Linked DNA regions of Rattus norvegicus. The protein of the gene in region 2 purifies or fractionates together with the protein of the main gene of each other region. This does not show direct contact. Links are inferred from orthologs where the notes say so. Each region holds a gene or a part of one and is shown on either strand. Other genes may lie near its edges.

Evidence for each region. The genes of interacting proteins can lie anywhere in the genome.
Region 1: the proteins of Notch2 (region 2) and Dll1 purify together in Homo sapiens (affinity purification with western blotting; 3 studies listed by BioGRID). This does not show direct contact. The link is inferred for Rattus norvegicus from reciprocal best matches to the Homo sapiens genes NOTCH2 and DLL1.

The regions. Positions count from the first base shown.
Region 1 is NC_086019.1:64,990,204-64,994,984, forward strand, and holds the start of Dll1 (delta-like protein 1 precursor), read right to left. Parts: upstream 3,072-4,781; 5' UTR 2,788-3,071; coding exon 2,734-2,787; intron 2,508-2,733; coding exon 2,214-2,507; intron 1,533-2,213; coding exon 1,472-1,532; intron 1,269-1,471; coding exon 1,011-1,268; intron 1-1,010. UniProt on the Homo sapiens protein: Transmembrane ligand protein of NOTCH1, NOTCH2 and NOTCH3 receptors that binds the extracellular domain (ECD) of Notch receptor in a cis and trans fashion manner.
Region 2 is NC_086020.1:188,424,281-188,428,495, reverse strand, and holds part of Notch2 (neurogenic locus notch homolog protein 2 precursor), read right to left. Parts: intron 3,365-4,215; coding exon 3,063-3,364; intron 1,940-3,062; coding exon 1,792-1,939; intron 1,041-1,791; coding exon 943-1,040; intron 207-942; coding exon 1-206. UniProt on the Homo sapiens protein: Functions as a receptor for membrane-bound ligands Jagged-1 (JAG1), Jagged-2 (JAG2) and Delta-1 (DLL1) to regulate cell-fate determination.

The DNA.
Region 1 (4,781 bases), on a different chromosome or scaffold from region 2:
GCTGGCTCACTTCCCCAGTTATGAAACCCATTAATGATCAGCAACCCCAGTTCTTAAGAAAACAGCCAGCTCTTGGCCAAGGCGGAGCATCAAAGGACATGGAAAACTAGGCAACAATGATGTCCAGGCTCTCACTGAAGTGTGGACCCCCTTCATCCCCAAGCAAAACCTAAAGCTAGATAGCTAATGCATATCCTCCCCCACACACTGACAGAAGTTCCGGGCCTCACACAGTCCAATGTTCAAACTGCTGTGGGGCAGAAGAACAAGAGTTCACCAGGCCCTGATGTTGGGAGGAAATGCCAATCCTACAGGTTGGCCTCAGATTACTGGAGAGAGGCCCCCTGAAGTGCCTATGAGCAGGAACCAGAGCAGAAGTCCTCCCTGTGGCCCTAGTACCCTGGTTTGCAAGAGGGTTATAGGACGTCAGTTACTGCTTTTCTTACAGACAGCGTGCTGTAAGCATTTACACAAGACAAGGTGACCCTCAGCTGTGTAGCCCTGCAGTCTACCTCAGCACACCTGCTAGTTTTGCACAGCCCCAAGGATTGAAGGCCTCCCCACAGGACAGGGCACACAGAGTACAGCACAGGGAATCTTTGGAAATAGATTTCTGTAGGCAGGTCAGGCACCCTAACTCTGTGGAGGAAAGGGAGGGCTTCCCAATGAGACATTGTTGCAACAAGGAGAACTGTTGGAAAATGAGCCCTCCACATCCCCTTTCTGCCCCTCCCTTCCTCTCTTCCCTTTCTAATACAAAGGCCCTAGGGAGAACACAGCCTTACTTCCTGACCCCTGGCCTTGTCTCTGAACTCCTCCCCGTGAAGAAAAGCAGCTTCCTACAGTGGACACAACGTCTCCCTTGTTAAAATGCCTGAATCCAGCCTAACTGCCATCGAGCCTTGCAAAAACACTTCTCTTTAGGCCTCAGTTTCCCCACTGGTCTATCTCTACCATCTCCTGTTGCTAAGTCCCATGTCTTTCCCCATAAATGGACCCAGAGGACTCACGGTCAGTGCAGTACTGGCCTTTCCAGCCAGGGTCGCACATCTTCTCCCCTCTCTCCCCGCAGGTGAAGTGGCCAAAGGCATCATCCCGCGGTCGGCAGAACACGGAGCAGCCTTCTCCATAGTAGTGTTCATCACACACAAACCGGTAAGAGTAGCGGAGGTCTGTGCGGCCGCTACTGTGAAGGTCCTGAGACCACTCTTCTCCCACAGTGAGGTGCCTCTGTGTGGTCAGGCGGCTGATGAGTCTTTCTGGGTTTTCTGGGAGAGAAGAAGCTCAGGTTGGTTCTGATAACACCCAAAAGCTAGGAACTGAGGACACTGCATGGATGCTGTCAAGCCAAGAACCCTTCTCTGAACTCCAGATGCAGAGCGAAGATAGCAGAGGACTGGGGTGAGTGGGTCAAGTAAACTGTGCATCGATGAAGAGAATGTATAGTTGAGGGAGGGGTTTGGAGCCTTACCTGTTGCGAGGTCGTCAGGAGAATCTGTGTGGAGGGCTTCAATGATCAGAGAGAAGGTACCCTAGGAAAAAGGGAGAGGATGCTTGATAAACCAGAAGTATGGAGGGGGGGAGGGAGGAGGAGGAGTTGGAGGACTAGGAGGGGGAGGAGGAGGAGTTGGAGGAGAGGCATTAAAGGGAACCAAGTACAGAGGCTCTCAGATCTCTGGATTGTGCCAATGAAGGTCAACTCATATCAGTTTCCTTAATAGGAAAATTTTAAAGAGTGTTTTTCCCATGAGTGTGGGTTTTTTAAAAAATGTTAATACAGGATATTGTGGTGTTTTTTTTTTTTTTTAAGAGAGAGTACTGAAACCAACAAGGTGGGGTGCTAGAAGAGGGCAGCTGTCATTAGTTTTCTGGGGATAGAACCTCGAGGGTAGCGAGCAGTCGCAGCACTGGGAGCGACCCAACCCAGGCCTAGGAGCTAGGGAACAAGAACTCTCCCAACTTTGGGGGGGGTGGGGGAAGCATTCGACCCTTGAGGTTTGTGAGAAATGCCCCGGGCTTGCAAAAGCTTCTGGTGTCCCACATCCCCTCCTCAACTGCCGGCCAGTTCCCAGAAAGAAGTCAAGACCCCAGGCGTGGCTTTGTGGGATTTCCCAACCCTTATCAGTGGCCCGTGCCTCCCTCCCACTGCCAGCCACCAGCCCGCCACCCCTACCCGGCCAGGCCCAGCGGAGTGCGCGCAGGTGCCCACTCACTGGCCAGGTGAATCCGAAGGGGAATCGGATGGGGTTGCTGAAGGCGGGGTCGATGCCTGCGCCATCAGGCAGGCTGAAGGAGTCGACACCCAGCACTGGCGTGACCGCACTGCCGTAGGTGCAGGGTGGCTCCGGGGACACGCTGGCCTGGTAATGCTTGAGGCATACGCGAAAGAAGGTCCTGCAGGCGCACGGCGGGCCAGAGCCCCCGCGGCAGCAGTTGCGGTTCCCCAGCAGCCCCTTCTTGTTGACGAACTCCTGCAGCTTCAGCTCAAATACGCCAGAGCTCCAGACCTGCGCGGGGAAGGGGCGTGAGGACGCGCCGGCGGCGGAGGGACCCGGGGCGCGCGGGCCCTTGCTAGGACGCAGAGGCCGAGCGCACCTCAGCGCCCATCCGGAGCCGCCCGCTGCCGGGCAGCTCTCGGGGTCATCGCTGCGGGAGTCACTTGGGGATGGACAGCTGATCCGCTTGTCCGACTCCCCTCCCTCCACCGCGCAGCAGCCCCGCCCGGCCCCCTACCTGGCACAGCAGGGCTGAGACCACGGCAAGGGCTAGCGCGCTCCGACGGCCCATGGTACCGCTGGACGCCCTTGCTCTCCTAGAGTATCCTCTTTTCTTTCTTCTTCAAAGACCCAGGGATGCCCGGAAAGTCTATGTGACCCGAGGAGCACTGGTGGAAAGGCGCCTCTCGGCTCCAGGTGTGATATCGGGCCAGGTCGCTTCAGGAGGGTGCGGTGCTACAGCTATGTCCCTGACAAGAGCTCTGCGAGGCACTGAGAAAGGACAACTTTCGGTTTCCTCTTCTTCTGGCTTCCAGTCCACGGGTAAGTGAGGGTCGCCTGCTTTCTGGTTTTGTCTTAAGCTTCTTCGCGGAGGGAAAGAGGAGAAAGGAGAGAAGACACAGAGGGAAGAGAGCCCAGATGTTCAGCTTAATTCCCAAGAGAGCTTGCAGTGGCTTCCTTCGCAGGCCTATTAGAGAGCGGCTGTCTGGAAATCCCACCGGTGAGGCGATAATCCGGGGCCCCGAGGGGCACGGTGGGAACGGGCTGGAGGTGGTGGCAAGGACTGCGGCGCGCGCCCTGGTTTCCCGGCCGGGCGTCACTCGGCGGCGGCTGCCGCTCCCAGAGTGTTCTAGACCGGTATCTCTTCCACTATCGCAAAGCCTCGCGTCTTCCTCAAGAATTCAGCCAATGCCATGCGAGAACACACACACCCAGGACCGGAGGCCGAAGCGTGGGAGGCTCCGTGCCGCACCGGTGCTCTCCCGTGACCTGCCTTGGTCAGACAGGGTAACCGCGGGTGCACGCCGGAGGATCTGGCCGGGGCTGGCGCCTGCCACCCTTAAATCCCGCCGGCCGCTCGCATAACTAATGAGATGCAAATGAGCAGCCCCCCAATCTGGCGAGAGCTGTCACAAAGGAGCCACTTTTCCAAACCCTCCTCTCAATGGATCGCCAAATGGTCAGTGAGCTGTAAAATGTGCAACCCTCCTCCCCGCCCCCACCTCCCCGCCCCCTAGTCCTCTCTGCCTCCGCCCTCGCCCCTTCGCCTCCCTCCCCCAGCGCAAAACCCGCTCATTTACATTCCTGCAAAACGTTCGGGGAGACGAACCGCTCTGCTCCCGGAGCTGGAGCTGAGGCCGCGTCGCCCACCGCCCCACCGCCACAGGCCCGAAGACCCTAGGCACGCTGGGCGGCCTGCGCCTCCCACTCGCGGTCACCGTTAGACTCGCTCGCAGGACGCGGCCTCCGGACTCTGGCGTCTCCAACACTGGCAGCCAAGGCTCTCCTCGTTTGTTCAGTCCTGGGGACTGAGGAACCGGGGAGAGGTTAGAGGCCCGCGTCCCCGCTGCTGCCCCTCCTCCCTGGCAGGCTCTTTCTAAGGAGGAGTCTCCCGGAGGCGGCGGGGGGCGGGGTGCCCGGTAGGAAAGGGACCCCTGAAGAGGTGGGCAAAGGGTGGCGAGAACGCCGCGGCAGTTTTGGGAAGTTTGGGGGAGGTTAGGCACGCTTTATACCTCTGGTCGAGGGTGGCAACTGAGCCTTGAAGAGTGCCAATGGGCTCGCGACCCCGGCCGGGCACCCCCAGAGACCGCAGTGTCCCAGAGCCCTAGTGTCTCCGTGTTGTCCACGATCACTGGAAATGGGGAATTCGGCTCCGGGCAGTGTATTCCCTAAGCCAGCAGAGCCAAAAGCTAAGCGAACCCTTCCACAGTGTACACACCCTCTCCCCGGAGATTTTCAACCACCACAACCTTCACTGGGGTCCGGTCCCACTCTCCTGGGTACTCCCCTCAGGCCTCCCTCGGCTTGGTAAAAAGTGAGTTTGGTGTGTGTCGTTCGCGTGGCTGTCATTAAGGCAGTCTGTTATTGTGCGAAGCTGAATCAGTGGCTCTTTGTGCGCTCAGCTGTATGGTAATGCAGACAGCACCTGCTCTCCGCACAATGCGGAGAGAAAGAGCTCCCCCTCCGCGCACGCCGCGGCCTCTGCGACAATGTCCGGCACATGTTTGAAAGACTCCCCCCACCTCACCCCCCAACACATAACCTTTACACAACCGTCACCTTATT
Region 2 (4,215 bases):
GAAGTCAAGACAGTCCCCGGAGGGCTGGGAGTCACGTTGTACTCGTCCAGGAGGCGAACTATGTCATGGTGCATGCGGTCCCGAGCCACATCCCGGGGAAGGCGGTCCATGTGGTCCGTGATGTCCCGGTTGGCAAAGTGGTCTAACAGGATTTTGGCTGCTTCATAACTTCCCTCTCGGGCAGCAAGAAACAAAGGTGTCTCTTCCTGAAGAAAGACCGTGGAACATATCTTTAATACCCAGAGCACACAGAAATGTTCCTAACCTTTATTCTCTTATAATCTTTTTAGTACGTTTTCTAAGTGCTTCTTCTATGAAATACCATGGACAGACAGTATCTCTTCCTATATGCCGTGTACTTTGACTTCCACAGAGATCTCAGAACTCACTCTGCTCCCAGGAGCACCAGCAATTAGACAGCAGTCAGTGACAGGAAGCAGGCCTCAGGGCCAGAGCTTCACATCAAGTGGACAGCAAACTGGGCTACCAGTAAGAAAGAGAGTAGGGAAACCAAAGTATCCAAAGAATTCAGAACACGAAAGAGAGGGGGTGAGACTTGAGGGAAAGATGTACAACAAAGGAAAGAAGTAAATGCAAGAGGAATAAAGGAGAGGCGTGTCAGGAGGGACCACAAAAGGTAGTGCCAACCCTAGTAGACTTTGGTATCCAAGAACAGAGAAACCAACTGCTGCACAGAGAGAAGGGGAAGACCGTGAGGACAGTGGTGAGCACACACCAGAGAAGCCCCTGTTGAAGGAGAAGGGCGGGGAGGGTGTGCCGAGGGACAGCCTGATGAGCACGGAACAGCCAGGGGCTGCCTCCCAACAAGCTGCATCCTCCCTCAGGGTCTCTGTCCCTGGCTCCCCCAGCAAGCTTCCCCAGGTGACCTCCTAAGGGAGACACTGCTGTGAGCATGCTCAGGCTCTGAGCTGAAAGCTGTACCTTGTTGTCCTGCATATCCCGGTTGGCCCCATTCTTCAACAGCAAAAGAGTTGCCTCCACATTATTGACGGCGGCTGCCCAGTGGAGGGCAGATTTTCCTGCAGGGGAAACGTTTTATAAGTATGGCACTAAGGAAAGTGTTGTGTTGTTTATTTATTTATTTTTATCTTGTTTTTGTTTTCTAGGAAACCCTAACCTCCCGGAGAACAGCAGCAGGACAGACCTCAGTGGCCAAGGGAGCCAACAGGAAAGCACACTTGTATTTCTGTTCCTTGTGTTCTCAGAACATTTCAGCACAGGCTGGGAGCCTTTAGGTGACAGGACCCCTGGTGTGTGACATTCATGGCCTCCACATGCCCCAGTTCTACACACTGAAGGCAGGAAGCGCTTTGCTATACGCCAAATGCATACTTAAGCTGTCTCGTAATCCCCAGGGAACCCACTCCCGTAGTAAGAGTGGTTACGGCTAGGAACCCACAAGCAAACCTTTCCAGAACATTCTTTGAAATTCAAGAACCCTCATACTGAAAACACTAAAACCAAAAACCCTTCTCATCTTTTTTTTTTTTTTCCCGGAGCTGGGGACCGAACCCAGGGCCTTGCGTTTGCTAGGCAAGCGCTCTACCACTGAGCTAAATCCCCAACCCCAACCCTTCTCATCTTAATGTGGGGACTCCTAGTGCCTCAGTTCTCTGAGCCCAGCATATTGAAGGAAGGGTGTGAGACGGGAAAAGAGTAAGGGACTCTCAGCTTCAGATCTCCAGATCTGAGAACGTCCTCTCAGGGGAGTGTAGCAATTCTCTTGCTTAGAGACATGCTCTGCAGACTGAGCCAGGTCCTCGTCCATACCATGGTCATCCACTGCGTTCACATCTGCTTGGCAGTTGATCAGCTCTGCCACCATTCCTTCCACAGCCAGGCGGGCAGCCAGGATCAGGGGGGTAGTGCCATCATTCATCCTGGCGTCTAGATCCGTTACTCGGTTGCGGATCAGAATCTAGAAGAGAAGCAGAGAAAAGTGTCCCTTAGATGAAGAAGAATGAGACAAGAGCATTCAGACTGAGGTGTCCTTGGGGCATGCTATCTTTATGTGCTAGAAGCTATAGTGGCTTCACTGTGTATTTGTTGAGTTTTTCACACCACTGTAGATGATCAGGATGCTCTGGCCCATTAGGACGATGTTCTGCTTTCTAAGGAAAGGGAAATGTGTGTGCAAGTGTCACAGCTTCAATCACAGGTCAGCTAGAATTTTCCAATTTCCTCATCAGGTTAATTGAGGAATAATTCACTACCCACTCATGTCAGGGATCAGCTGTAGGCCCACAGACGGGCAGAGTTATAGAGAATTAACACTAATCCAAGGATCTGGACCAGTTCCTGCTCCCATCCGACCTGTAGAGTTGCAAGGCATCACTGCATATCAAAATATTGCTCATTAAGATTCAGAACCCTGTGGCTGACTGAATCATTCTCTGGCTACTCAAAGTAGGTCAGCTGGCCTTCCTCCTTTTTCTGCCCAGCATAATTCGTTTCTCAAAGACTTCTGTTCCAATGAATTCAACGAGCTGGTAAGTGTTTGGGTAAAGCTGAGCCACCACAGGCCTATAATAGTTATTTTACTTGGTGTGTGTGCAGGCAGGTCCGTGCAATGCAGGAGTCAGTTCTTTTTACTATGTGAGTCCTGGGGACTGAACTCGGGTTCTTGGGGTTGGTGGCAAACACCTGTGGTGTTTTAAATGAGATGCTTGTTCCCAATAAGTCTCAGCCTTTGACTTAGGCCCCAGCTGATGGCCATTTGGGAAAGACTGAGGAAGTATGGCCTTGCTGGAGAATGTATGTCACCAGTGTGCTTTGAGGTTTGAAAAAGATGGTGCCACTCCCAGTAGCTCTCCACCTCCTGTCTGTGGTTCGAGATGTGAGCTCTCAGCTGTTCCTGCCCCCATGTCTTTGCTCCACCATTACGGACTCTGATCCTCTGGAAGCGTAGGCTCCATTAAATTCTTCCTATTATTAGCTGCCTTGGATATGGTATCTTACCACAGATAGAAAAGTAACTACGACATGCCTGTACCCAGTGAGCCACCTCACTCTTCCCACTCAAACCAACTCTGGCCCTTTACCTGGAAGACACCTTGGGCATCCGCTGCAACTGCAGCATGAAGAGGACAGCGGCCCATGTTGTCCTGGGCGTTGGCATCTGCACCAGCATCCAGGAGGCGTTTGGCAGCATCAGCTCTCGAATAGCGGGCTGCAAGGTGCAGGGCCATCTCACCAGTGCGGTCCGTCTGTGCCTGGAGGCTGGCACCTTGGTAGACCAAGTCTGTGATGATGTTGGCAGAAGAGTCCTCAGCATCTTCATCTTCATCACTCAGGTCTGAGCTGCCTCCTCGGAGAGAAGCCAGCATCAGTGGGGTGCACCCATCTGTAGGAAGGGAAGGTCCCAACAACATTCAAATTAACCCATTACTGGAACAGTTCTGCTGGCCATCATCCTGCTGTGGGACGGAACTCTCCAAGCTTGCAGTAACCATGCCAGGTTTTACGTGACAAAGCCAGCTGTGCGGAGAGTGTGGGAAAGCAGCTGCCTTTGCCTGCGGCTCTTCCTTAAGCTGATAAGCTTTTCTGCTTGGGTTTAAGTGGAATTAGGACATTTCAAACTAGACAGCATTTTATACAGAAACATAAATAAACCTGTGCAGTGATGTAAAGCAGGGATGGCAGTCGCCTTCTGCTGTGGGGTGCAGTGGTGGCATGAATGGGAATGGCCCTCACAAACATAGGTTTGAATGCTTGGTTAACAGGGAGTGACACTACTTAGAAGGATTGGGAGGTGTGCTCTTGTTGGAGGAAGTGTGTCACTGCGGGGTGAACTTCGAGGTTTCAAAAGCCCATGCCAGGCCCAGTCTGTCTGTCTGTCTGTCTGTCTGTCTGTCTGTCTCCCTCTCTTGGTCAGTGTCTCTTTACAGCAAGGAACCCGTGATGGAGACAGATAGTATTTTTCTAACACCCCCCACCCCCCAGAATCTAACTTGTTTAATTAGCCTGCTTGCCCTCAGTATGCTGTACAAGAAACACTGCAAAATCCCTTTCTTTGAAATCTGCATTTTCAATGGAAAACACAGTTAAGGATTTATTCAGTGAGTATGAGTGTTTTGCCTACATGGATTTCTGAACCGTGCGCATGGTTCACATGCAGGGTAGGAAATGGTGTTGGAGCCACTGGAACTGAAGAAGTACATCACCATATGGTGCTGGGAACTGGAACCAGGTTCT